7 linked regions of the Callithrix jacchus genome follow. The protein of the gene in region 1 binds, or shares a complex with, the protein of each later gene. Links are inferred from orthologs where the notes say so. Each region holds a gene or a part of one and is shown in the gene's direction. Other genes may lie near its edges.

The links.
Region 2: the proteins of RHOA (region 1) and ARHGEF11 are in contact, whole or in part, in a crystal structure (PDB 1XCG), measured with the Homo sapiens proteins. The link is inferred for Callithrix jacchus from reciprocal best matches to the Homo sapiens genes RHOA and ARHGEF11. Residues at the interface, in NP_001300870.1 of Homo sapiens: Arg5, Thr19, Val33, Tyr34, Pro36, Thr37, Val38, Glu40, Asn41, Val43, Asp45, Glu54, Ala56, Trp58, Asp59, Ala61, Gly62, Gln63, Tyr66, Asp67, Arg68, Leu69, Arg70, Leu72, Ser73, Pro75, Asp76, Pro96, Glu97, Pro101; in NP_055599.1 of Homo sapiens: Asn715, Gln717, His718, Glu737, Val738, Glu741, Thr745, Ser748, Ser837, Lys844, Arg867, Arg868, Leu869, Gln870, Arg872, Asp873, Ile876, Met879, Gln880, Arg881, Thr883, Lys884, Leu887, Leu888, Ser891, Arg914, Leu917, Lys918, Val920, Asn921.
Region 3: the proteins of RHOA (region 1) and ROCK1 are in contact, whole or in part, in a crystal structure (PDB 1S1C), measured with the Homo sapiens proteins. The link is inferred for Callithrix jacchus from reciprocal best matches to the Homo sapiens genes RHOA and ROCK1. Residues at the interface, in NP_001300870.1 of Homo sapiens: Val38, Phe39, Asp65, Tyr66, Arg68, Leu69, Leu72, Pro75; in NP_005397.1 of Homo sapiens: Lys999, Val1003, Asn1004, Leu1006, Ala1007, Met1010, Asn1011, Arg1012.
Region 4: the proteins of RHOA (region 1) and TRPV4 are in contact, whole or in part, in a cryo-EM structure (PDB 9IQX), measured with the Homo sapiens proteins. The link is inferred for Callithrix jacchus from reciprocal best matches to the Homo sapiens genes RHOA and TRPV4. Residues at the interface, in NP_001300870.1 of Homo sapiens: Met1, Ala2, Ala3, Arg5, Tyr34, Pro36, Val38, Phe39, Glu40, Asn41, Tyr42, Val43, Glu54, Trp58, Glu64, Asp65, Arg68, Leu69, Leu72, Pro75, Asp76; in NP_067638.3 of Homo sapiens: Lys177, Arg179, Thr181, Glu183, Glu184, Arg186, Pro188, Arg224, Glu225, Asn228, Ser229, Pro230, Arg232, Arg237, Asp263, His265, Ala266, Gln267, Arg269, Asp313, Arg315, Arg316.
Region 5: the proteins of RHOA (region 1) and RAP1GDS1 are in contact, whole or in part, in a crystal structure (PDB 5ZHX), measured with the Homo sapiens proteins. The link is inferred for Callithrix jacchus from reciprocal best matches to the Homo sapiens genes RHOA and RAP1GDS1. Residues at the interface, in NP_001300870.1 of Homo sapiens: Ala3, Ile4, Arg5, Lys6, Asp13, Lys18, Lys51, Asp65, Tyr66, Asp67, Arg68, Leu69, Arg70, Pro71, Leu72, Ser73, Tyr74, Lys98, Trp99, Pro101, Glu102, His105, Phe106, Leu179, Cys190, Leu191; in NP_001093897.1 of Homo sapiens: Arg111, Tyr118, His121, Ser171, Glu200, Met201, Val204, Asn208, Glu211, Leu212, Glu213, Ala249, Glu253, Lys290, Thr291, Asp294, Leu295, Val297, Leu298, Leu301, Asp303, Leu334, Leu338, Ala341, Asn342, Ala344, Arg345, Asn346, Asp347, Cys350.
Region 6: the proteins of RHOA (region 1) and ANLN are in contact, whole or in part, in a crystal structure (PDB 4XOI), measured with the Homo sapiens proteins. The link is inferred for Callithrix jacchus from reciprocal best matches to the Homo sapiens genes RHOA and ANLN. Residues at the interface, in NP_001300870.1 of Homo sapiens: Tyr34, Val35, Pro36, Thr37, Val38, Phe39, Glu40, Asn41, Trp58, Asp65, Tyr66, Arg68, Leu69, Pro71, Leu72, Pro75, Asp76; in NP_061155.2 of Homo sapiens: Met729, Thr732, Val733, Tyr735, Gln736, Ala737, Gln739, Ala740, Cys743, Cys744, Glu748, His749, Gly750, Ser753, Glu755, Glu758, Ala759, Leu762.
Region 7: the proteins of RHOA (region 1) and ARHGEF2 are in contact, whole or in part, in a crystal structure (PDB 7G9I), measured with the Homo sapiens proteins. The link is inferred for Callithrix jacchus from reciprocal best matches to the Homo sapiens genes RHOA and ARHGEF2. Residues at the interface, in NP_001300870.1 of Homo sapiens: Arg5, Lys7, Lys27, Gln29, Val33, Tyr34, Val35, Pro36, Thr37, Val38, Phe39, Glu40, Asn41, Tyr42, Val43, Asp45, Glu54, Trp58, Asp59, Ala61, Gly62, Gln63, Tyr66, Asp67, Arg68, Leu69, Leu72, Ser73, Pro75, Asp76; in NP_001155855.1 of Homo sapiens: Asp215, Ser216, Ser218, Leu219, Asp238, Val239, Glu242, Thr246, His249, Cys342, His345, Ser346, Leu349, Lys353, Lys376, Arg377, Gln381, Glu382, Leu385, Leu386, Thr388, Gln389, Ile391, Thr392, Lys393, Leu396, Leu397, Arg400, Lys423, Leu426.

What each region holds. Positions count from the first base shown.
Region 1 is NC_133516.1:31,978,357-31,981,856, reverse strand, and holds part of RHOA (transforming protein RhoA), read left to right. Parts: intron 1-1,409; 5' UTR 1,410-1,411; coding exon 1,412-1,567; intron 1,568-3,500. UniProt on the Homo sapiens protein: Small GTPase which cycles between an active GTP-bound and an inactive GDP-bound state.
Region 2 is NC_133519.1:17,337,781-17,341,280, reverse strand, and holds part of ARHGEF11 (rho guanine nucleotide exchange factor 11), read left to right. Parts: intron 1-906; coding exon 907-997; intron 998-1,718; coding exon 1,719-1,844; intron 1,845-2,277; coding exon 2,278-2,339; intron 2,340-3,229; coding exon 3,230-3,451; intron 3,452-3,500. UniProt on the Homo sapiens protein: May play a role in the regulation of RhoA GTPase by guanine nucleotide-binding alpha-12 (GNA12) and alpha-13 (GNA13). Acts as guanine nucleotide exchange factor (GEF) for RhoA GTPase and may act as GTPase-activating protein (GAP) for GNA12 and GNA13.
Region 3 is NC_133514.1:63,928,613-63,932,112, reverse strand, and holds part of ROCK1 (rho-associated protein kinase 1), read left to right. Parts: intron 1-1,125; coding exon 1,126-1,314; intron 1,315-2,162; coding exon 2,163-2,322; intron 2,323-3,500. UniProt on the Homo sapiens protein: Protein kinase which is a key regulator of the actin cytoskeleton and cell polarity.
Region 4 is NC_133510.1:112,687,495-112,690,994, reverse strand, and holds part of TRPV4 (transient receptor potential cation channel subfamily V member 4), read left to right. Parts: intron 1-390; coding exon 391-689; intron 690-2,780; coding exon 2,781-2,960; intron 2,961-3,394; coding exon 3,395-3,439; intron 3,440-3,500. UniProt on the Homo sapiens protein: Non-selective calcium permeant cation channel involved in osmotic sensitivity and mechanosensitivity. Activation by exposure to hypotonicity within the physiological range exhibits an outward rectification.
Region 5 is NC_133504.1:99,090,162-99,093,661, reverse strand, and holds part of RAP1GDS1 (rap1 GTPase-GDP dissociation stimulator 1), read left to right. Parts: intron 1-975; coding exon 976-1,115; intron 1,116-3,500. UniProt on the Homo sapiens protein: Acts as a GEF (guanine nucleotide exchange factor) for the Rho family of small GTP-binding proteins (G proteins) that stimulates the dissociation of GDP to enable subsequent binding of GTP.
Region 6 is NC_133512.1:5,117,874-5,121,373, forward strand, and holds part of ANLN (anillin), read left to right. Parts: intron 1-1,053; coding exon 1,054-1,207; intron 1,208-3,500. UniProt on the Homo sapiens protein: Required for cytokinesis. Essential for the structural integrity of the cleavage furrow and for completion of cleavage furrow ingression. Plays a role in bleb assembly during metaphase and anaphase of mitosis.
Region 7 is NC_133519.1:16,342,360-16,345,859, reverse strand, and holds part of ARHGEF2 (rho guanine nucleotide exchange factor 2), read left to right. Parts: exon of another isoform or gene 1-1,675; intron 1,676-2,238; exon of another isoform or gene 2,239-2,291; coding exon of another isoform or gene 2,292-2,330; intron 2,331-2,537; coding exon 2,538-2,682; intron 2,683-3,500. UniProt on the Homo sapiens protein: Activates Rho-GTPases by promoting the exchange of GDP for GTP.

The sequences.
Region 1 (3,500 bases):
CACCGCACTTGGCTAATTTTTTTTTGTATTTTTAGTAGATACAGGATTTCACTACATTGCCCAGGCTAGTCTTGAACTCCTGGACTCTGAAGCAATCTGCCTGTCTCACCCTCCCAGAGTGCTAGAATTACAGGCGTGAGCCACTCTCTGCCTGGCCCTTTTCTTTCTTCCCTCCCCTCTCAGGCTTCCGTCCTTCCTTTCTCAGTGTCTGACTGTGTTGCCAGGGCTGGTCTCTAACTCCTGGGCCTGAGTAATCCTCCTGCTTCAGCCTCCCAAAGTGTTGAGATTACAGATAAAAACCACTGTGCCTGGCCTCAACTGAATTCATTTTTTAATGTTAATATTGTATCCTGCAACCTGACTGAACTTGTTTATTCTAAAAGGTTTTTTTTTTCCCTTTTTTCTTTTTTTTTCGAGATGGAATTTTGCTCTTGTTGTTTAGGCTGGGCTGTAATGGTGTGATCTCAGCTCAGCGTAACCGCTGCCTCCTGGGATCAAGCAGTTCTCCTGCTTCAGCCTCCCAAATAGCTGGGATTACAGGCATTTGCCAACACCCTTGGCTAATTTTGTATTTTTGGTAGAGACTGGGTTTCTCCATGTTGGTCAGGGTGGTCTCAAACTCCCAATCTCAGGGGATCCACCTGCCTCAGCCTCCCAAAGTGCTGGGATTACAGGTGTGAACCACTGCACCCAGCCTATTCTAAAAGTATTTTAATGATTCTTTAGGATTTCCCACATTGTAAGATCATCTCATATATGAATTGAGATAGTTTTACTTCTTCCTTTCCAATTTGGGTGTCTTTTATTTCATTTACTTATTGCCCTGACTAGGACTTTCAGTATCTTGATGGGTAGAAGTGACAAGAACAGGCCAGATGCGGTGGCTCACGCCTGTAATCCCAGCAGTTTGGAAGGCCTAGGTGGGCAGATCACGTGGTCAGGAGTTTTGAGACCAGCCTGAGCAATATGGTGAGAAACCCTGTCTCTACTATAAATACAAAAATTAGCCGGTTGTGGTGGCGTGTACCTGTAGTCCCAGCTACTTGAGAGGCTGAGGCACAACCCAGGATGCCGAGGTTGTAGTGAGCCAAGATTGCACCAGTGCATTCCAGCCTGGGCGACAAAGTGAGACTCGGTCTTAAAAAAAAGGAGTGGCAAGAACAGACATCCTTGTCTTGTTCCTGATATTAGGGAGCTGACCTTCTTTTCAGTGTTTTACCATTAAGTATAAAATGTTATGAGGTTTTGTTGTATAACGTTTTGGTGCCAGATGGATCAGTATACTAGAATTGTGAATTTGAGAATGCTGTTAGAGGCTTATGCCCCATGGTTAAAAAAGCACGTGTCATAGCCTGAGGCTACCTATGGCTTCTTGTGCATTCCAGATAATCCTGTGGTTTGTGTTTCAGCAATGGCTGCCATTCGGAAGAAACTGGTGATTGTTGGTGATGGAGCCTGTGGAAAAACATGCTTGCTCATAGTCTTCAGCAAGGACCAGTTCCCAGAGGTTTATGTGCCCACAGTGTTTGAGAACTATGTGGCAGATATCGAGGTGGATGGAAAACAGGTGAGTATACTTTTCATAACAACTGGTGCCATTTTCTGTGTTAGATTATTCACAGAGCATGTATAGAACTAAGAGCTTTTTGCTATTTCAGTATACAGTGTAACAAAAATGTTAGAAAGAATAATCCATTCTCATACTGCCATCTTAGTCCAAGTTTGTTTGGGTTTTTTTGAGACAGAGTCTTGCACTGTTGTCCAGGCTGGTATGCAATGGCATGATCTTGGCTCTTCGCAACCTCCGCCTCCCAGGTTCAAGTGATTATCCTGCCTCAGTCTCCTGAGTAACTAAGATTATAGGCACCCACCACCACCCCTGGCTAATTCTTTGTCTTTTCAGTAGAGATGGGGTTTCACTATGTTGGCCCGGCTGGTTTTCAACTCTTGACCTCGTGATCTGCCCATCTCAGCCTCCCAAAGTGCTGGGATTACAGGTGTGAGCCACTGTGTCCAGAAAAGTTTATTATTTTTGTTTTTTTGAGACTAAGTTTCATTCTGTCACCCAGTGCCATGACATGATCTCAACTCGCTACAACCTCTGCCTCCTGAGTTCAAGTGATTTTCTTGCCTCAGCCTCCCAAGTAGCTGGGATTACAGGCATGTGCCACCATGCTCAGCTAATTTTTTTGTATTAAATATAGATGGGGTTTCACCATGCTGGTCCCGGACTCCTGACCTGAGGTGATCCACCTGCCTCGGGCTCCCAAAGTGCTGGGATTACAGTAGTAAGCCACTGCACCCAGCCTCCTCCCGGGTTTAAGGAATTCTCCCTCTTCAGCCTCCCCAGTAGCTGGGATTACGGGAATGCACCACCACGGCTGGCTAATTTTTGTATTTTTAGTAGAGATGGGGTTTTACGACGTTGGCCAAGGTTGGTCATGAACTCCTGACCTCCGGTGATCCGCCCACCTCAGCCTCCCAAAATGCTGGGATTTTAGGCATGAGCCACTGTGCCAGGACCTCTTTTTTTGAGATGGAGTTTTGCTCTTGTTGCCCAGGCTGGAGTACAATGGCATGATCTTGGCTCACCATAACCTTCATCTTCGGGGTTCAGGCAATTCTCCTGCCTCAGCCTCTCGAGTAGCTGGTTTTAGAGGTTTGCGCCACCACACCCAGCTAATTTTGTATTTTAGTAGAGATGGAACTTCTCCATGTTGGTCAGGCTGGTCTCAAACTCTTGATCTCAGGTGATTCACCCAGTTCGGCCTCCCAAAGTGCTGGGATTACAGACATGAACCATAACATCAGCCTGTTTTGTTTTGTTTTTTTTTATTTGAGATGGGGTCTTATTCTGTTACCCAGGCTGGAGTGCGGTAGCACTATCTTGGCTAACTGCAACTTCCACCTCCTGGGTTTAAGTGAATCTCCTGACTCAAGCCTTGCTGGGACTACAGGTGTGTGCCACCACGCCTGGCTATTTTTTGTTGTTGTTGTTCCACCAAATCATCTTCAAATGCTCAGCTATTTTTTTTCTTTTTTTTTTTTTTTTAAGACGGGGTTTCACCATGTTGTTCAGGCTGGTCTTGAACTCCCGACCTCAGGTGGTTGGCCCACCTTGGCCTCCAAAGTACTTGGATTACAGGCGTGAGCCACCATGCCTGGCCTATTTTTTTGTATTTTTAGTAGATACAGGGTTTCACTGTGTTAGCCAGGATGGTCTCTATCTCCTGACTTCTAGATCCACCTGCTTCGGCCTCCCAAAGTGTTGGGATTACAGGCGTGAGCCATGGAACCCAGCTGCTTACATTTAATTTTAAAACATTTTTTTAACTTTAACATAAAGCAGGCTGCCACAATTGTTTTATTTTGTCATTGATGGTGAGAACAGTGCTTCCCATTTCTGTCCTAAAAGCCCTCTGCTAAGACTGGAACAAAGCTCTTTTGGAATTGGAGGGTTGTTTTTTTTTTTTTTATTTTAGGTTTTTTTTGTGTGTTTG
Region 2 (3,500 bases), on another chromosome or scaffold:
AGGATGGGGTAAGAGTAAGCAGGACTGGGAGGAATGGGATTAGGCGGGATGAGTAGGACACCCCTTTGTGCTGCAACAGTGACTTGAGCAGAGCTTGGTTCCAAAAGATGTTAGATGTTAGTACCTGCGGTACAGAGCTGGGACCACTGGACAAAGGCATTTCAGTGAGAAGTGCCGTGTGTGTAAGAAAGGGCTCTGGAGCAAGAGTCAGGCAACCAAATTCTCTGGGCTCACTTCCTTCATCTGTGAGATAGGAGTGATACCTACCCTACCTCTTGGAGGCATCAAAAGGGATGACGGGTATGAAAAAGTTTTATAAACTCCTGGCCAGGCTCAGCAGCTCACGCCTGCAAACCCAGCACTTTGGGAGGCCAAGGCAGGCAAATCACTTGAGGTCTTGAGTTCAAGACCAGCCTAGCCAACATGGTGAAACCCCATCTCTACTAAAACAACAAAATTAACCAGGCGTGGTGGCAGGTGCCTGTAATCCCAGCTACTCGGGAGTCTGAGGCAGGAGAATCACTTGAACCCAGGAGGTGGAGGTAGCAGTGAGCCAAGATCTCGCCATTGCACTCCAGCCTGGGCGACAGAGCAAGACTCTGTCTCAAGAAAAAAAAAACCATTTTGTCAGTCCTAAGCACCATACACACGTCAGCCATCACTATTATTAGAGTGTGAAAGGAATGGTGGTGGCTGTGAAAGGTGACATTAGGGGTCCTGGAATTTCCTCTGTCCCTTGTGTAAGTGGGTTCCAAGTGGTCCCGATGACTCATCTCTGCCTCATGCTGCATTCTTCATCCTCATTGAGGGTCAGGGCTTTGGGTCCCACTCTGCCACCCTGGCCCAGGCTTTAGTCACACCTGCCGTCCCTAGTACAGGCCCTTCTACCTTCCTTTCCTCACACAGATAAACGGGCCTTCTTCATCATCTGCACCTCCAAGCTGGGCCCACCCCAGATCTATGAGCTGGTTGCATTGACGTCATCAGACAAGAACACGTGAGACTTGATTGAGGGGTCATCCGTAACTGCGGTCCCCTTGGGACCAGGGTGGTGTGTATGAGGACGGTGGACAGCAAGGCCAGGGCTGGGCCCCAGAGCAGTCCCTGGACAGGGAGTTGGGAAGGGAAGTGGGAGGTGGTAGGACAGAATAAGAGAAACTGGGAGGGGTCATAACCCCTGACCTGGTCACTAGGCCCGCCTCTGGGAGAATGAGCTCCTGGCAGCCTTCCAGCCGCAGCCGCTGCTGCTGCTTCTCTGCTTCCTGCCCTACTCCCTTCACCATCAGGCGAATTAGATTCATGCATCCTTCTCAGGCGTTTGCCTCCCACCCAGCCCATGTTATCTGACAGCAGCCACCAGAGGTGGCGTGGTGCAGTGGAAGGGGGCGGTTGGAGTCAACCCGTTTCCCACCTCCAGGGTTTTCATTTGTAAAATGTGGCTAATGCTCCCTGTTAGAGAATTACTTTAGAGAGAAAACAGAAGGCTTTGCACAGAATGTAGCAGAGGGTTGGTGTCCAGGATTTGGTAGCTACAAGTAATATAACCCCAAGGGAGCAGCCAGGGAGAACTGTACGGGGAGGTGGGCACCTGCCAGGCAGAGGGTCCTTAGGGCCTGAAGAAGGACCTGGAAGCCCTGAAGCAGTGGGCTCAGCATGGGGGTGGTGTGTGCCGTGGTCTTGCTCTCACTACAGTCCTCTCTGTTCCTGCTGAGCAACAGATGGATGGAGCTCTTAGAAGAGGCCGTGCGGCATGCCACCAGGCACCCCGGAGCTGCCCCAATGCCTGTCCATCCTCCACCCCCAGGGCCCCAGGAGCCAGCCCACCAGGGATCTACACCCAGCAGGTGCAGCGCTTAGCCCTCCAGACCCCACACTCTCTACACTCCAAACCGCCTGTTTCCTGCTGCTTCTAAGCCCTTCACCCCAGGGGTGGACAGCCACAACAGGGAAATGCTAGCAGGGAACAGACAGCTCCAAGCGCTGGCAGATGGAGGAACATGCCCCCTGTCCCTGCTTCCTATCCCTGTCTGTTCCCCCCACAGCCTGCCACCCGGCTATAATACAGCCTGAGCCTGAAGTAGGGTGACTGGGGTGTAGAGCAGGGGACCAGAGAAGCTCAGCCAGCAGCCCCCCTCCTCACCGGGTTGCCATGCAAACCAGCCAGATGAGGAGGCCCCACACCGTCCTCAGATCCTACTCCATCACCCATCCTAACACAGGAGTCCCGGATGGAATCTCATGCATGACATCTCACCCTGGGTTGGTTTCCTCCTTCAGGGTAGAACTGGATGACTCAGACGTGTTCCATGGTGAACCTGAACCTGAGGAGCTGCCTGGAGGTAAGGGCCCTGAACTGTGTGGTGGGAGCCAGTGCAGGTTGGGTGTGAGTATGGGGGCGATGGGAGAGGCCATCAGGGCCCAGGGTGTGAGGTTTTGAAGAGTAGAGAAGAAACGGGGCGGGAGAAAGAGTCTGGAGGAGGAAGGAGAGCAGACTGAATAGACAGGCAAGTGTGAGCTCACTCACCTGACCAGAGATTCCCACCCAGCCTCTGGGTGATGGCGTCAGCCATGGGGGAAGAGGAGCAGCCTGGTGGGGTCCCCTGCATCTTCCAGGGATTACTGCTGGGGAGAGAGATGCATGCTGCAGCTACAAGGATGGGAAACATGGGGGGCCAGGGCACTCAAAGCGCTTCAGATGCACTTACGTGATGGGATTGGTAGAGGGGACGACATTCTCATTGAGAGCTTGTGTGTAAAGTAACCTGGGGTCTTGGGTTTGAGGAGAAGTCTCAGGCTTCCTGGCTGGGTCCCTGTTGTTTCCTTCTGCTTAGAATGCTTTTCCTCCCAACGCCACACCTTCATCGCGTCTTTGTTCCAGTGTCCCCTTCGCCCAATCTGTTTAACGCCAGCACTGACCAGCCCCCATGCCCTACTCTGTTGCTTTCTTCTTTCCCGTGGAAGTTACCGCCTTCTAACAATCTGCATAACTGACTGAAGTGTCTTATTTTTGTATGTCCCTCCACTAGAATGTATGCTCCGCATGGGCAGGGATCTTTTAGTTTTGCTTACTGTTGTATGCCTAGAGCCTGGGACAGTGCCGGCCAAAGTGCCCAGTGACCAACCGTAGAATGAATCGGTGTTCCCAGCCCCTTGGCTCCAAAGCTGCTCATGGGCTCTCCCATACGTGCCCTCTCCCTTTCCCCGCCTGGCAGTCTTCTCTCATTCAAAGCAGGTACTGGGCCCCAGCAGAGGGTCCAAGGGAAGCACCCGGTCCTACTCGAGGACCCTGAGCAGGAGGGCAGTGCGGAGGAGGAGGAGCTGGGTGTCCTGCCTTGCCCTTCCACATCCCTGGATGGAGAGAACCGGGGAGTCAGGACAAGGAACCCCATCCACCTGGCCTTCCCAGGCCCTCTGTTCATGGAAGGCCTCGCTGATTCCGCTCTGGAAGATGGTGAGTGCCTCAAGGCCCTGGCGTCAGCCTCTGGTCCCCAGTCACACAG
Region 3 (3,500 bases), on another chromosome or scaffold:
ACATACGTTCATTTTTTAGTTAATCGTTGCTCTTTCTGCACTTTTTCCTAAAACCAAGGCGTATAAGATTCAAGCTTTTCATCAGAACAAATAATGTAAATTCTTTCACTGTTAACTATAAAAAACTTATTTGGCCAGGCGCGGTGGCTCAAGCCTGTATTCCCAGCACTTTGGGAGGCCAAGGCGGGTGGATCATGAGGTCAAAAGATCGAGACCATCCTGGTCAACATGGTGAAACCCCGTCTCTACTAAAGATACAAAAAATTAGCTGGGCATGGTGGCACGTGCCTGTAATCCCAGCTCTTCAGGAGGCTGAGGCAGGAGAATGGCCTGAACCCAGGAGGCGGAGGTTGCGGTGAGCCGAGATCACGCCATTGCACTCCAGCCTGGATAAGAAGAGGAAAACCTCCGTCTCAAAAAAATAAATAAATAACTTATTTGTGAAACAGGATTTCAAGGCCAGGCACAGTGGCTCATGCCTATAATCCTAGCACTTTAGGGGGCTGAGGCCAGCAGATCACTTAAGGCCAAGAGTTCGAAAAGAGCCTGGCCAACATGGCGAAACCCCAGTCTCTACTAAAAATACAAAAATTAGCCAGGTGTGGTGGTGCGCTCCAGTAATACCAGCTACTCAGGTGACTGAGGCATGAGAATCACTTGAACTCAGAAGGCAGAGGTTGCACTGAGCCAAGATTGTGCCACTGCATGCCAGCCTGGGTGACAGAGCAAGACTCTGTCTCAAAAAAAAAAAAAAAAAAAAGAAATAGGATTTCAGTTGAGTTAAGAAAGTTAACTTGCCTACTAATATTGTATAGTTATAGAAGAGAAGAGTATGTGGCCACGGCATAGAAGCTTTATTTGCTAGTACCTAACATCAGAGTAGGGTTAGCATATTGTTGCTTTAGTACTGGGTTGTAAAGTTAACCAAATAAAGCTCACATTTAAGTAGTAAAATAAGTGAATGTTAGTTACTTGTGCTACCAGTTATTATATCTCACCCTTCATTGGATTGTCCTAATTTTCATACACACAAAAAGTCCTGCTTCCTGAATTTAAAGAAAAAAACACATTTTAGTGTATTAAATTGGATAAGTACAATATTGATCTTTATTAATATTTTAATAGGCTGTTAACAAGTTGGCTGAAATAATGAATCGAAAAGATTTTAAAATTGATAGAAAGAAAGCTAATACACAAGATTTGAGAAAGAAAGAAAAGGAAAATCGAAAGCTACAACTGGAACTCAACCAAGAAAGAGAGAAATTCAACCAGATGGTAGTGAAACATCAGAAGGAACTGAATGACATGCAAGCGGTAAGGTTTCTGTGTGTGTACAGACATGAGTGTAAAGTTTTATTTTCTTAAATTATTTCTGTATATACTTGTTATCTATTTATCTTGTTTAGATTGGGTTTCCCTATATCTAACAATGCATATTTTAGTATATACTCTTCACAATTTAGTCGTTATTACTCTAATATAAATCATGATCTTGAAAAACTAGAAAGATGCTCTGTTGCCTAATAGTTATTGTAGCTTGAGTAATTTTTACCCATTAGCAGCTGCTTATTTAGAGGCCCTATTCTGAAAGAGACAATCAAGGGTTCTGCCTGTTTGGTTTCAGACTGAAATTGGGATATGGCTGTTATAATATTAACTATAATTGGGGTAGAGGTTTTGAAGTATTGTAGCTTATTTATTTTCCCTAGTCAGGACCCACTTTTTTGAAATCTAAATAGCAAGCTTAGTTTTTTGATACTTCTTGGCTTGTTAATAGAGCAAAATTGAGATCCTGGTCTCTGGCAATTAGCACGAAGCTTTTTAGCTCCATCAATTACGGTTTTCTTAAATTTTCTATACCTTTAAAGCTACTTCATTTGGAGCCAGAAAAGCATTTTCAATTGTTTTAACTTTTTTGTTTTGATGGCTTATGTTTGAAAACAAAAACTCTTTTTAAGGCAAGGAGAAGAGGAATTTGTCTGAGCTATTTTATTACTGAGAAAGAACTTGACATTTCTGTAGTGTATCAAAATCTGTGGTAGCAAACATTCATGAAGTTTACTGTACATTTTTAGTATTAGTTTAAATTACATGCCATATTTCAATTAATGTTGGAAATTATTTTAGCTTGATTATATTATCTTGATACTTTTCAAAAATAGCAATTGGTAGAAGAATGTGCACATAGGAATGAGCTTCAGATGCAGTTGGCCAGCAAAGAGAGTGATATTGAGCAGTTGCGAGCTAAACTTTTGGACCTCTCAGATTCTACAAGTGTTGCTAGTTTTCCTAGTGCTGATGAAACTGATGGGAACCTCCCAGGTAAGAATAATTCCATATCATTCAAACATGTATAAATGTCATGGAAATTAATGTATATTTCTTTCATTTGGTTTTCTACCTCCTTGTCATTTTGTCCATGGATTCCTAAGAAGGAATTCTTATTTCTGATAGCCAAAGCCTGATGATGATTGTATACTTGGTGTATTTTGTGGAGTAGAAGCAGTTGTAAGTAATCTTAGGCTATTTAAATAGACCTAAGAAGCTCCACCTGAATAAAAACCATAAGAGGTTTATGAATCTATTTTGAGCACCCTAAGTCCACAGTGAGAGTCAAAGCTGCTGCTGCACATTGCACTATTTTTAAAAGTTGTGCGTTTTTGTGAGTAATAGCTCTTTAACATTTTATTTATTCTTGTGCTAAAACTAAAAACTGTACTTTATCATCAGAACCACAGCACCTATGTATAGAAGCCTATTTAGTGGAATAGTGATCAACTTTAATCAGACTTTAAGTTTTAGGTTTGGAGAAATAGATAAAAGGGGTTGGGCAGTGCAGTAAGAGGCCAGGGAGGTCAAATAAAGGCAGGAATGAGTGGCTAAGATTTCAGACTTTTTTCTGTGTCTTCTTTTTCCCAGTGGAGAATCAATTTAAATTAAACACAGCCTCATTCTTGGCTTAATCACCATGTAAACTATAGGACATATATGTACTTTATAGAGATGAGAAATATACATACTGTAAGTTCAATTTAGAAACGAAATGAATAGGCCAGGCGTGGTGGCTCACGTCTATAACCCCAGCACTTTGGGAGGCCAAGGTGGGTGGATTGCCTGAACTCAGGAGTTTGAGACCAGCCTGGGCAACACTGTGAAATCCCGTCTTAAAAAAAAAAATTAATAAAAAAAGGAAAGAAAGAAATGAAATGAATAGATTATAACCTAATAACATGTATTTACATATATATAGATTTGAAATACTGTACAGTCTTAGTTCAGGGTCTTGGAAGTTTTATTTATATGGTCATAAACTCGAAAGTAGATTTAATTAGTGTATTTTCTGAATAATACATAAATAGGAAGATATTTTGAAGCAGCATGTTTGATGTTATAGGGATTCTGTTTTAACAGATATTACTTGTTATTGTGAGTTTGATATAAGGAACTAGATGAGTCAGAAAATTTTATAGTATCTTTCTTGGTCAAGAAAGTGGGATTCA
Region 4 (3,500 bases), on another chromosome or scaffold:
ACCTGTAATCCCAGCTACTCGGGATGCTGAGGCAGGAGAATCGCTTGAACCTGGGAGGTGGAGGTTGCAGTGAGCTGAGATTGCATCACTGCACTCCAGCCTGGGTGACAGAGTGAGACTCCGTCTCAGAAAAAGAAAAAAGAAAAAAAGAATTCCATCATTGGATGTGTCCAGTCCCTCACAGCTTCCAAGTAGCATGCCTGTACCCTTAACCAGCTACCCTGCATCTCCCCGGCCTCACCCAGAGAAACGTGCAGTTCATATCTGCTGCTGGCCCTGTCTCCGTCGTCACCCTCAGAGTGCCACGGTGTCTGCCCCGCAAGCGTCTGCAGGCAGAGCCCCACCCCAGGCCCCCTTCGCTGACCTCCCCCCCTCCACCCTGGCCCGCAGGGGAGCTGCCCCTGTCGCTGGCTGCCTGCACCAACCAGCCGCACATTGTCAACTACCTGACGGAGAACCCGCACAAGAAGGCGGACATGCGGCGGCAGGACTCGCGTGGCAGCACGGTGCTGCATGCGCTGGTGGCCATCGCCGACAACACGCGGGAGAACACCAAGTTCGTCACCAAGATGTACGACCTGCTGCTGCTCAAGTGTGCCCGCCTCTTCCCCGACAGCAACCTGGAGGCCGTGCTCAACAATGACGGCCTCTCGCCCCTCATGATGGCTGCCAAGACGGGCAAGATTGGGGTGAGTGTGGGCGGGGGCACAGCTGATCCACCCACTCATACCCCTCCACACACACACAAGGCTCTGCTGCTGGGATTCATCATTAATATGTGAATGCACCTCCCAACATGTCAACACCAGTGTGTGAATGTACCAGCTCAGGAGCCTGCTGTGGCTCCCTGGTGTAGAGCCAAGCTGCTTAGCTTCATCCTTGAGACTTTCACTTCATGTCACCCTATGGGATGTTCACCACCCCACTCCCACCAGCCAGGATGAGCCACTGATAGGAAACTGAGTTGCAGGGTCCTAGCGCAGCAGTGGTTCCAGCTTCAAGGCTGCTGAGTGGCCCTGTGCCAGTTCCTTTCCCTCTTCGGGCCGCACAGTATAGGGCCTGAAGGGTTTCTTAGCTTCAGGACGGTTATTTTGCCGGATGATGACCTGAATCCCGGCTTCTACACACCAGATGCCAAGAGCACCTCCCTTTACACTTGTGACCACCAAAAATATCTCCAGGCCATTGCTGAATTGTCCTCGGGGCAGCGTCGCCGTGATTGGGAACCAAGTCTTGAGTTCCCTAGAGGGAGGAGACCGGTCCAAGCCCTCCCACTTCCTAGTGTGTGACCTCAATGACCAGCCTCTGCCTCCCTCTCTTCTATTCCTTTTGCATCTCCCTTTTCTGTGCCTCAGTTTCCTTGTCTATAAAATGGGGATATAAGAGTGCCCTCTGGTGTAGTGTCATGGCAGTTAAATGAGGTGATCCACATAAGGCTCTTAGGGAGGAGACGGGGAGAGGCAGTAAATGCTCAGTGAATGGGGGGTGGGGACTATTACCTGGCGGGCATGGTGGCACATGTCTGTAATGCCAGCTAGTTGGGAGGCTGAGGTGGGAGGATCATTTAAGTCCAGCCTGGGCAACATAGTAAGATCCCAAATAAAAATAAACAAACAAAAAATAAAAATAAACATTCAGCAAAAATTACTAAAATTGTGATTATACCAGGGTCGTGAGGCAGTATAAAGGCTCGGGTTTAAATCCTGACTTCAGCTGGGCTCAGTGGCTCATGTCTGTAATCCTAGTACTTTGCGAGGCTGACATGGAAGGATTGCTTGAGCCCAGGAGTTTGAGACCAGCCTGGGCAATATAGTGAGACCTCATCTTTACAAAAAATAGAAATAAATTAGCCAGGCACAGCAGCATCTGCCTTTGGTTCCAGCTACTTGGGAGGCTGAGGTTGGAGGATCACTTGAGCCAAGGAGGTTAAGGCTGTGGTGAGCTGTGATAGTGCCACTGCACTCCAGCCTGGCCAACAGAGCCAGATCCTGTTTCAGAAAAACCCCTAAAATCCTGGCTGGGCATGGTGGCTCATGCCTGTAATCCCAACATTTTGGGAGGCTGAGGTGGGTGGATCACCAGAGGTCAGGTGTTCGAGACCAGCCTGGCCAACCTACCGAAACCCCATCTCTACTAAAAATGCAAAAATATTAGCTGGGTGTGGTGGCGAGCGCCTGTAATCCCAGCTACTCGGGAGGCTGAGGCAGGAGAATTGCTTGAACCTGGGAGGCGGAGGTTGCAGTGAGCCGAGATTGCGCCACCACACTCCACCCTCAGTGACAGAGCAAGACTCCATCTCAAAACAAACACAAACCCCAAATCCTAACATTGCCCCATGAAACCGCATGACCTTGGTTAACTCCTACCTCCTCTCTGTGCCTCAGCCTCCCTGTGTGTAAGCCAGGGAAGGAGGAGCGATAACAGGAAGGACCGCAGATGATTGGCAGTGTTATAATTCACATATTATTAAGTTGGGCTCATTGCTATTTTAAAGGCATGAGGAAGATATTCATTACAATTAAGATGGTGAAAGCTCGCCTAGGTCCCGTCTGGCTCCAGCTGACTAGTTATGTGGCTTCTGGAGCACCCTTCATTTTTCCCAGCCTCCACGTCCTATCTGTAAACCAAGACTATAAGAGCAAGAATTAAGATGAGGAAGGGAGGGGTCCTCCGGCAGCCGGGGCTCAGCTGTTTTCTGGGGAGGTGTCACGTGCTGAACTGGGCTCAGCCCCGGGGGCCTCTCCAGTGTGAGACCCTGACCCTCCTGGTCCCCTGTGCAGATCTTTCAGCACATCATCCGGCGGGAGGTGACGGATGAGGACACACGGCACTTGTCGCGCAAGTTCAAGGACTGGGCCTACGGGCCAGTGTATTCCTCACTTTATGACCTCTCCTCTCTGGACACTTGTGGGGAAGAGGCCTCTGTGCTGGAGATCCTGGTGTACAACAGCAAGATTGAGGTGGGCATCAGGACGGGGCATGGGGTGCAGGGAAGGAGGGGCCAAGCTGGGATGGGACTTGGGCGGGGCTGGGCTGGGGGAGAGAGCCCAGGCCTCTGGGCCCCAACATGGTGGATATGTTGGCTGAGTGCAAGAGGAGGTGCCAATGAAGTGCCCAGAACAGTGTCTGGCATGTGAGGAAATGAGCAAGGCTTGTGGGAAGGTGGGCTTTTGGGGCAGATAGGACTAGCTTGGGATCCTGGCTCTGTAACTTACATGCTGTGTGTCTCAACTTCCTTGTTTGTGACCTGGGGATAAGGACTGTGCATATACCGTGGGGTTGTTGGGAGGACCTGAGGTTAAGTTTAGAATGGCCTGGCACAGAGTAAACATCGTCAGCTATTAGCATTCGTGGTTGCTATATGAACTTTTGAAAGCTCTTTTTTTTTGGCCAGGCATGGTGGATTATGCCTGTAATCCCAGCATTTTGGAGGGCCAAGGTAGGTGGATTGCTTGAAGCCAGGAGTGTGAGACCAGCCTGGGCAATGTGGTGAAACCCTG
Region 5 (3,500 bases), on another chromosome or scaffold:
GGACTCGTTTTTAGTTTTCAGGATTATGTAATCATAAAAATAAACAGCAAATAAAAGATTATAAAATTGGTTTTGGAAACATTTATTAATTTGTGTGCTTGTTATAATTGACGATTTATTTTTGAGACAGAGTCTTGCTTTGTCGCCTAGGCTGGTGTGCTGTGGCACAGTCTCAGCTCACTGCAACTTCTACCTCAGTAGCCAGGATTACAGGCATGCTCCACAACTCCTGGCTAATTTTTTTTTGGAATTTCAATAGAGATGGGGTTTCACCATGTTACCCAGGCTGATCTTGAACTCTTGGCCTCAAGTGATCCACCCACTTCCGCCTCCCAAAGTGCTGAGATTACAGGCATGAGCCAGCACGCCCAGCCTATAAGTGACTTTAAATAGAAATTATACCATATCTCTACTTGTTAGTACTTATAATCCTGGTTTTAGTTTGCTTTATTATCAGTTTCTGGTGGGGTGGGGAGGTTGTGTGCTTTGGACATTCTATACCCATTTTTACCTTGGCTTTGAAATCAAATTTCATTATTGTGACAGTCAAAAATTTTAAAAATCTGTCTTGCAGACAGGGAGAACATTTTTCTATTTGCAGAAACAGCAGTCAAAACCACTCCTAGGAATGAATTGTGTTTATTTACTTATTTCTAAGTTCTAAACCTCTTTCTATATTTATTGCATAGACTCCTTCTAAGAACTCCGCACTCTAGTCTGCCAGAGCACTGGCAGATTAGCAGGCTTAACCAAAAGAGTATGAAGTCATTTGTTTTTGTGTTTTGTATCAAATTTCACAGTGTTACAGAAAAAGCCAAATAGCCCATCACATAAGGAGTATTTGCAGTTCTAGCTTTAATGAAGTTATTGTGCTGTGTTTTTTTAGACATACTTCTCCTTCACACTCTTAAATCTTTACGAATTATTTCAGCTGATTGTTAGTGATTCATTCCTTGGTTTGCCTTCTTCCTATAGCAGAAGCTGCTGAACAACTGGGAAAGAATGTTAAGTTAGTGGAGCGTTTGGTGGAATGGTGTGAAGCCAAAGATCATGCTGGTGTGATGGGGGAGTCAAACAGACTGCTGTCTGCCCTTATACGACACAGTAAATCAAAAGTAAGTTCCAGAGGAAACTCTGCACTAGAAAACTTTAGAGTGTCTTTTTTTTTAGAAACCCAGCATGGTAGGTCGTAACAATAATGATAAATATTATTAGGGATAGTATTTACCTGAAAGTTCGTGAAAATTCAGTGAGATCATATATATAATGTGCTCAGCTGGTACATGGGACATAGGAAACACTAAATGGAGGTTGCTGTCACTGCTGCTATTGTTATTACTTTTACCACCACCATTATCAGCATCATTGTCAAACATTGCTTTGTGCCAGGCATTGACCATGCAGGCTACTAATATTTAGAAATTAAATGATATCTATAGTATATGATGCCCAGAACTCAGAAAGTTAGAAAAAAATACATTCTTATGGCTGTGCAGCTGTCTGGCACATGGTAGATAACCAATGAATGAACAAATGAACTATTTTAAAGATCACAATAGTGAGTACCCAGCAGCAGTTCAGCAGTTGATTTAGTATCTAGATTATATACTTAAAAAATTTTTTTAATACTGGTTTTTTTTTTTTTTTTTTGAGACAGTCTTGCTCTGTCTCAAAAGGAGACTCTTGCTCTGTCTCACTCTCCTCACCCAGGCTGGAGTGCAATAACGCAATCTCAGGTCACTGCAACCTCCGCCTTCTGGGTTCAAGCAATTCTCCTGCCTCAGCCTCCTGAGTAGCTGGTATTACAGGCACGTGCCATCGACACTTGGCTAATTTTTTTATTTTTAGTAGTGACGGGGTTTCACGATGTTGGCCAGGCTGGCCACAAACTCCTGACGTCATGATCTGCCCACCTCAGGATTACATGCATGAGCCACCACACCCAGCCTTTAATACTGTTTTCTAAGGTGACCCTTTCAATCTTTTCTCTTTTACACTTCAGTAGCGATTATACATGAAGAGAAAGTTTAGAACTTAAATCCACCAGCTGTTTTCATTTATTTTTAGAACAGATAAGAAGATGCCAAGAGAAAAAGCGTAAAAGTAAAGCTGTTCTTGACTTGCATAAATCTCTTTCATATAAATAATTGGCTTCGCCATAATAGCTGTCCCAGCTGGTTAGCCTCAGGAGTGTTCTTCCCCATCAGATACTAAATCTTGAGAACTTTCCCTGGGGAAAAGCAGCTGTTAACTAGGACCTTCCTATTGCCTGTCTCACCCAGACCACCCTAAAAGTTCATACATTTTCATTGATACAGGACCAAGTAGTATGTTGGCAAGATGGATGTTATCAAGAGAGGATAACAAAATGGCCTCCTTGGTACCCCTTTTACCCCTTCTCCATCATAACTGCTCTCTCAGGCCCATTTTTTTGTTTAACAGTTAATATTTGAGTTATTGCAGTATAAATACTACAAGATAGTGTTTCTGTAAAGGAATTAACTGTCTATTGAGGGGACTGACAGAAACAGCTACAGTACAGCATTAAAGCTACAAATGCTATTTGGTTGTAGCAGAGGAAAGAAAGACTAACACACTGGGTGCTCTGGGATGGTGTCACAGAAGGAGTGCTATTTTAGAGGTTAACTAGAAATCTCTCAGGAGAAGAAGGAAAAGAGAATGGAGGAAAGGGCCTTTTCAGGGAAAGACAACAGGATGTACAAAAGCACAGAGATGTAAAACAACATAATTTTAGAAGGAAACTGCAAATAAATCAGTATTGCTGGAACATAGAGTTTGGAGAGAGACAGTGGCCAGAGAGGTTGAAAACTGTGAATTGAGTGAATTGTATACCAAGTTAAGATATGTGAATTTGATTCTTTACAGAATTTGGGAGCACTTAAAGTGTTTTAAGCAGCAAGGTGCCATTATTTGGTTTTCATTTTGAAAGATGTATCTAGGGTTTAATGGGGGTAGAAAAAACAGTTATTGCAAAAATAGACATGAGAGATGATAAAGGACTGAATTAAGGTTTTGAGTTGAGCAATTTGAAATTGCTGATATTCAGCCATTTTTGACACAAATTTCTATGGTTTATTCAACTAGTAGCATGAGGATGGAAAAGAAGAGACAGACTTGAGAAAGCCATAGGTGGTAGAATTGATAGATTCAACAGTAGATTAAAGGAGGAGGTGGTTTTAGAGATAATTCCAAGTTTTGGGCTTACCACCAGACTGGCCTATCATGCCATTCATCAAAATAAAACATAATAGGAAGAGGTGCAGCTAACACTCCCTAAACTCTCTCATGCTCTTTGAGTCATTATCCTTAATCTTTTTGCTCTACTCCAAGAAAATCTCCACCAGTGGTTTTCAGGGATGTACAATCATTTGGATTTCCCTGGGCCACACTGGAAAAAGAATTGTCTTGGGCCATACCACACATAAAATACACTAACACTAACAATAGCCGATGGGCTTAAAAAAAAAAAAAATCTCAAA
Region 6 (3,500 bases), on another chromosome or scaffold:
ACATGCAATTTCATGCATCCCGTGTTCACTTTGGGGTGGAGACTTAACATGTCATTACAGTTGGGCTCTGTATGTCAAAAGGTGAGGTGGGGACATGAAGGCACTCAAGTGAGTAGCCTCTGTAAACTGGCCGGAAGCAGTCCATGATTGGTGGTCTTCTTATTGAGAACTCTGATCTTCCTGCCTCTCTGTTTTCCACTGTAAGGACCTTTGTGATAATGTTGGGCCTGACCAGATAATCCAGGATTATCTCTGTCTAAAGATTCTTAATCATATCAGTAAAATCTCTTTTGCCCCATGAGGCAACATCTTCATGGGTTTAGGGTATCAGGACAAAAAAAACCTTTGAGAGACCATTATTTTTGCCTACCCTAGTGGCTTAAAACAATATTCTTTTTCTCGTGATTCACTGAGTCAGCAATTTGTATTGTGCTCAGCCAGGCTGTTCTTCTGTTTGTCTCTCCAGTGGTCAGGGAGGAATCTTCAGTGATCTGGCAGATTATCTGGAGCTGGATGGTCTAAGATGGCCTTATTCACATGTCTGGTGGTTGATACTGACCATCAGCTGGGCCATGTGTCTCTAGTGGACTTAACCTGGGCATGTTCACTTAGTGGCAGAGAGAGAAACCCCATGTTTCTTGATGCCTGGAAGGCTCACAATATCACTTTTGCCATATTTTATTGGTCAAAGCAGATTTATGAGCCCAGATTCAAGGGTGAAGAAATAGATTGTGTCTTTTGATGAAAGCAGAAAGAATTTGTGGCCAATAAAAATCTCATATAGCTAACTTTACACATTTTATTCCCCCTGTCATGTTCCTATAATAATTATGACACTGGGGTGCTCATTTAGTGAATCCTGATGTAACTGATTAATATTTCACTTTTGAAATATGTTTAACTGGCATCCTTTATGGCCACTGGTGATTTTAGAAGATGTTGCAATTTTGTAAACATTTGATTAAACGGTGTTTTTTGCTTGTTTGTTTTTATTTGCTTCTTGCTACTTATGCATAAACTCATGTTTTAACACTGATGTATTTATGTATGTAGAAACTGCTGGAGCGAACCCGTGCCAGGCGAGAGAATCTTCAGAGAAAAATGGCTGAGAGGCCCATAGCAGCTCCGAGGTCTATGACTCATACGAAGCGAGCCAGAGAGCCGCTTTCAGAAGCAAGTAACCAGCAGCCGGTCGCTGGTGGTAAAGGTAAAAGACTTTGGGGAAAAATAACATTTGCTTTTTTTTTTTTTTTTTAAAGGAGACAAGACCCAAACATTTCTCTAGCATATAGAAAAACCAAGCTCTTCGGGAGACAAATATAACAGCCTCTGGGGGAAATAACAGCCTTCTATTTTTTTTTTTTTTTTTTTTTTTGAGACGGAGTTTCGCTCTTCTTACCCAGGCTGGAGTGCAATGGCGCGATCTCGGCTCACCGCAATCTCCGCCTCCTGGGTTCAGGCAATTCTCCTGCCTCAGCCTCCTGAGTAGCTGGGATTACAGGCACGCACCACCATACTCAGCTGATTTTTTGTATTTTTAGTAGAGACGGGGTTTCACCATGTTGACCAGGATGGTCTCGATCTCTTGACCTCGTGATCCACCCGCCCCGGCCTCCCAAAGTGCTGTGATTACAGGCTTGAGCCACCGCACCCGGCCCAATAGCCTTCTATTCTATTTCAGGGTTATTAGGTCTAGAATCTATTGGGTTGGAATAGCGTTTCTTCCAACAAATATTTTAAATTAATTGATTGAACTTTTTTCTTCAATCTGAAGTTATCATTAAAAACTCAAGGGAAGAAAAATAGAGGAGTAGTGCAACATTTATACTTACCATAGCACGGAGTTGTTGTGGCCATTGAAAAGCTCATATAGCTAATTTTTACACATTTTACTCCCCTGTAATGTTCCTATAATAATTTTGACATTGGGGTGCTCATTTAGTGAATCTTGATGTAATTGCTTAATATTTCACTTTTGAAATATTAAGACAGAGTCTTGCATTATCACCAGGCTAGAGGGCAGTGGCACGATCTTGGCTCATTGTAACCTCTGCCTACTGGGTTCAAGGGATTCTCACACCTCAGCCTCCCGAGTAGCTGGGATTACAGGCACGTGCCACCACACCCAGCAATTTTTTTATTTTTAGTAGAGACAGGGTTTCACCATGTTGGTCAGGATGGCCTCGACCTCCTGACCTCATGATCTGCCCACCTTGGCCTCCCAAAGTGCTGGGATTATAGGTGTGAGCCACTGCCTCCGGCCATGTGGAGTCTTATCCCAAGGGCGACAGAACAGCTGACTACTGAGTTCGAATGGTGTCTTTGGTACGGGCAAGGCAACGGAAGGCACACTGCCCATGCTTTACATTTAATGAGCCTTTTTCATCCTCTGTTTGCTGAACCAGCTCTCTAAAGTTTAGATTGTTAATCTCCAGAAGTGGTGGAATTGAACAAAAACAGGCGTGCGCACACACACACAAACACACACGAGCACACACACACACACACACACACACGCCTGTAGCCCTACTCTTTCCTAAATCCTGGCCTTCCCAACCAGTGTCAGCCAGACTCCTTAGTCTTTTCCTGGAGTGTGGAATAGTCTGGAGATAACAATCTTCCTTAGTACAACTGTGAAATACATACAAATAGAAAAAAAAATTACAGAGGGCAAAACCAATGTTAAAAAAAAAAAGCAGAGAAGAGTACATGGGGCTAGCTCAGTTATTTTGGAAGCTAACCATACAACAAGAATTACTTTTCATACATTTATCCATTTTGAAGGGAGAGTGAAGGAAATACATCACATATTATATGGTATTCAGCCAGGAAAATAGGGGCCTGGCCCTGGTCTTAGCCCTAGAGCTTCTGTGCTCACTGTGAGATGGGTCTGTACTATTGAGTACTATGTATTTGAAAACTAGAGTTTGGATGCTGAGGTCAAAGTTCAAAACTACGTTTTGACGTTTAGCCGGAAGTTCACATTTACTGTTGTAGATCGTTGTGAACTAGAGTTCTGTATTTCCAGATGCTGTTGTATGTTAAAGTAGGGACACTTTCAAAAATGGCTAGATGTGTTCACAGGAAATAAATCCACAAATGAGTTACAGAACATTAGAACATTTCAAAAATAAACAAAGGAAAAGATAGGAAAGTCAGGTGTGGTGGCCCACACCTGTAATCCCAACACTTTGAGAGACTGAGGTGGGCAGATTGCTTGAGCTTGGAGACCAGGCTGGGCAACATAGCAAGACCCTGTCTCTAGAAAAAATACAAAAATTAGCTGGGCATGGTGGCACATCTATAGTCCCAGCTACGCAGGAGGCTGAGGTGAGAGGATCGCTTGAGCCCAGGAGGTCAAGGCTGCAGTGAGCTGAGATTGCACCACTGCACTCCACCCTGGGTGACAGAGTGAGGCCTTGTCTCAAAAAAAGAAAAAAGAGAAAAAAGAGTGGAGTAGGAAAACAATAGGTTGGAAAGTTTCATGATGTCTATTTACT
Region 7 (3,500 bases), on another chromosome or scaffold:
GACAGGAGTCTGGCTGTGTTGCTCAGGCTGTCCTCAAACTCCTGGCTTCAAGCGATCCTCCCACCTCAGCCCCCCAAAGTGCTGAGATTACAGGCGTGAGCGGCCTCGCTGGCCTCTTGCTTTTAATTCAAATGTGATAAATTCTCAAACTTTGGATTTGTGCCATAGAGAAGGCTGGAAGGGCAGGAGAAGAGGAGAAAAGGGAGAGTGTATGGCAGTGGGAAGAGATATTTGGACTTGGTCTTTGAGATCCTGGGAGGTTATTATTCAGAGGTGAATTTGAACTTCTTTTTTTTTTGAGATGGAGTCTCACTCTGCAGTGGCCCAATCTCGGCTCACCACAACCCCCAACCTCCCGGGTTCAAGCGATTCTCCTGCCTCAGCCTCCCAAGTAGCTGGGATTACAGGTGCCCATCAACACGCCCAGCTAATTTTTTGTATTTTTAGTAAAGACAAGATTTCACCATGTTGACCAGGCTGATTTCGAACTCCTCACCTCAGGTGATCTGCCTGCCTTGGCCTCCCAAAGTGCTGGGATTACAGATGTGAGCAACTGCGCCCAGCCTGAATTTGAACTTCTAAAGAGCTATGATTTGGCACAAGATAGGTGGAGGTTAGACCAAAGGGAGCATTTTCTAGTGGTCCAAGTAGGTAGGTACTGGAATAGAAAAAAGGAGGCCAGAACAGTTTCTGAGTTTGAGACCAGAGGCAGCTCAGCTTCCTGAATAAGCTTAGGTAGAGGAGCAGCTGGCCTGCGTGAGGAGGAGAGGAGGAGAGGCCGTGGGCAGGAGAGAACAGTGGCGGAGAAGCAAGGCTGAGAAAGGGAAGGCAGAGGGGGAGGAGCCCAGGAAGGAGACCCTGAGAGAAGGGAGGAGGAGGAGGAGGAGGAGGAGGAGAAAGAGGAAGAGGAGGAGAACAATGGATGATTGGGGGTGGGGAGGATGCATGAGGGGAGAATGAAGAAGAGATTGACCCAAAGACCTCTGGACTCTGCATGTCATCAGGCAAACCTGGAGCTTGGGAGGAAAGGCAGGAAAGAGAAGGATCTTGGGCCACCAGGAAGCTCTGAGACCCGAGGCACTGCAGCCCCATGCCCTCCGTCCCTGCACTGTTGACTCAGCCCCTCCACACTTCCCCTTTTTACCCTTTTCTGCCCTGACCACCAGGCCTGTGAGACTCTACCTCTTCCACCTCTCAGCTGCTAGCATGGCCTGGGCTGAGTCAGTACTAGTCTTCTAGAGTCTGGGCTGAGTGCTCCCCACTGAACTGTAATTCTTTGTCCCCAACCCAGAGCCTCTGTCTTGGGACTTCCACCCTCAGCCATCTGGATCCTGCTCTTTGATTTCTGAGAACCTGGCAAACCTTGGAGGGAGTGGTCTTGTCAATTTCTACTCCTCCTCCAAGAGCGGAGGGAAAATCTTAGAGATCCAGGGTCACAACTGAGGAAGGTCCTAGAATAGTGGGGAGAGTGATATCCCCCGCTTCTCGCCTTCTCAGACTTTTTGGGAAGCGTAGGGACTTGAGGAGGGACAGACTGGAGGTCAGGGAGAATGACTCGACTTGCAGAGGCAGGGACACTGGGGGAAATGGGAGACAGCAGAGTCGGGAAAGGCCGGCTCTGAGGCTCCGAGGAAGGTGTGCGCCATCTGTGGAGACCAGCACTGAAGGATGGAGGGTAGGTCTCAGAAAGGACTTCCTAGGATGGGAGAGCCCAGTTGAGTGAGGAGCAAAAGAGGACTCTCCCAGATTTTAACTCTGGAGGATAGTATGAGAGGGATAAAAGTCAGATTGCAGGAGAGATTTTCTGCCAAAAGCAACCGAGATGGCTGGCTGAGATTCCTTACTTAAAGATCTCAGAATGGAGGGATGACCCAAAGGCAGCTGCCCTTGCCTTGAGGTTATGAGGGGACATGCTGCCTCCCAGACAGGCCTGTATTCCTTGGCTGAGGGTTGGTGAAAAGATCTAGAGGTTTGGGATCCTGACCTCTGGCTTGGGGGTGGCAAGGGGGAGGCATTCTGCCCCCTTCAGCCAATCTAATAAGGGGATCTCCTGCTCCCCCCCCCACTGCCACGGAGACAGCGGCTCCAACATCGGTTGTCATGGTTATAAGAGGAGCTAACTCCCATAGATTGGAAAGCGCTGGTGAGCTGGCACCCTCTGCTTCGCCTGCTCTCCCCTCCTCTCTGCGCATCTTCCCCCTAGCACAGAGAAGAGAGTACAGCAGCTCGGGGGCGAGCAGAGCTAGGACTGGGAAGGTGGAGTGAGGACGCAGAGACCTCGAGCCAGGGAGATGAGTGGCAATAGGAGGCAGCCCAGCCGCAGGGGCCAGGTAGGTCAGGGACCCAGAACCCGTCTGGACTGGCTGCCCCAGAGCCTGGCCTGGTCACTCCTGGACAGCTGCCTCTGATACCCAGTTGCAGGCTCTGCTTTAGGAACTGGTGTCTTTCCTCAGGCTGGCATTTCTTCCTTGCCTCTGGACTCCAGGCACCCTGGCATTTTCCAGCCTCACTTCCTCTCCCTCTCACCCTTTCCGCAGGCCCGGGAAAAGGAGAAGATGAAGGAAGCCAAGGATGCCCGCTATACCAACGGGCACCTCTTCACCACCATTTCAGTCTCAGGCATGACCATGTGCTATGCCTGTAACAAGAGCATCACAGCCAAGGAAGCTCTCATCTGCCCAAGTAAGTTGTTTGGACCCTAAGAGTCACCCAGACTCAGTGCCCGCTGACCCTGATCTTTGCATCTGTTTTTATCTGCCTGGACCCATGAGGATCATTCGTCTCTCTCATCCCCAGCCGGGCCCAAATGCCAGGGCCAGATGCTTGATCCCTTGCTCCCTGTCCTCACGCTGAGGGGTGGTGGCTGTTGGAATATAGCATAAGCCGGACTATCTGGGAATGTGGGGGAGGGGAGGCTGGGCTGGCTCCCCTTGCAGCTGTCATCCACTGGGCCCCCCTCTTGCTCCCTGAACAGCTGCTAAGGGTTAGGGGAACTGATTGGAGAAGGAGCAGGAATGTTGTATGTGTGGAGGGAGTGGGGTGGGGGGTGATAGAGGAACTAGGTGGAAAGCTGCCAGCCTTGCAGCTGGCTCTGCCCATCTTCCTGGGCAGAGCTGGGCATTCAGGACTTCACAGTCCCCTTGCCCCTTCCTTTCTATTGCCTATGGGTGGAGCCTGAAACCTCTGATGTTTCAAGCAGAAGATGGGATTAGGACCCTTCATCTCAAATTTCTAGTCTGACTATACAGTGAGAAAGAGGGAATGCAGCAGGGATGTGTATGTTGGGGGCAGGGGTTAGAATCCCTGCCCGTCATCCAGATCTGAGTGTAGCCCTGTCTTTAGGGAGTATAAGCCAGGAATTCTTTCCTTCCCCAGAATGCCTACACAGAGGGCTCCTGCTGCCCCCTCTCCCTCATTTCCTCCTGAAGTTATGGCAGAAATGCCTCTGATTAGAGCAGGATTGAAGGTATTGTGACCTGCTACTGAATAGTTGGCAAAAG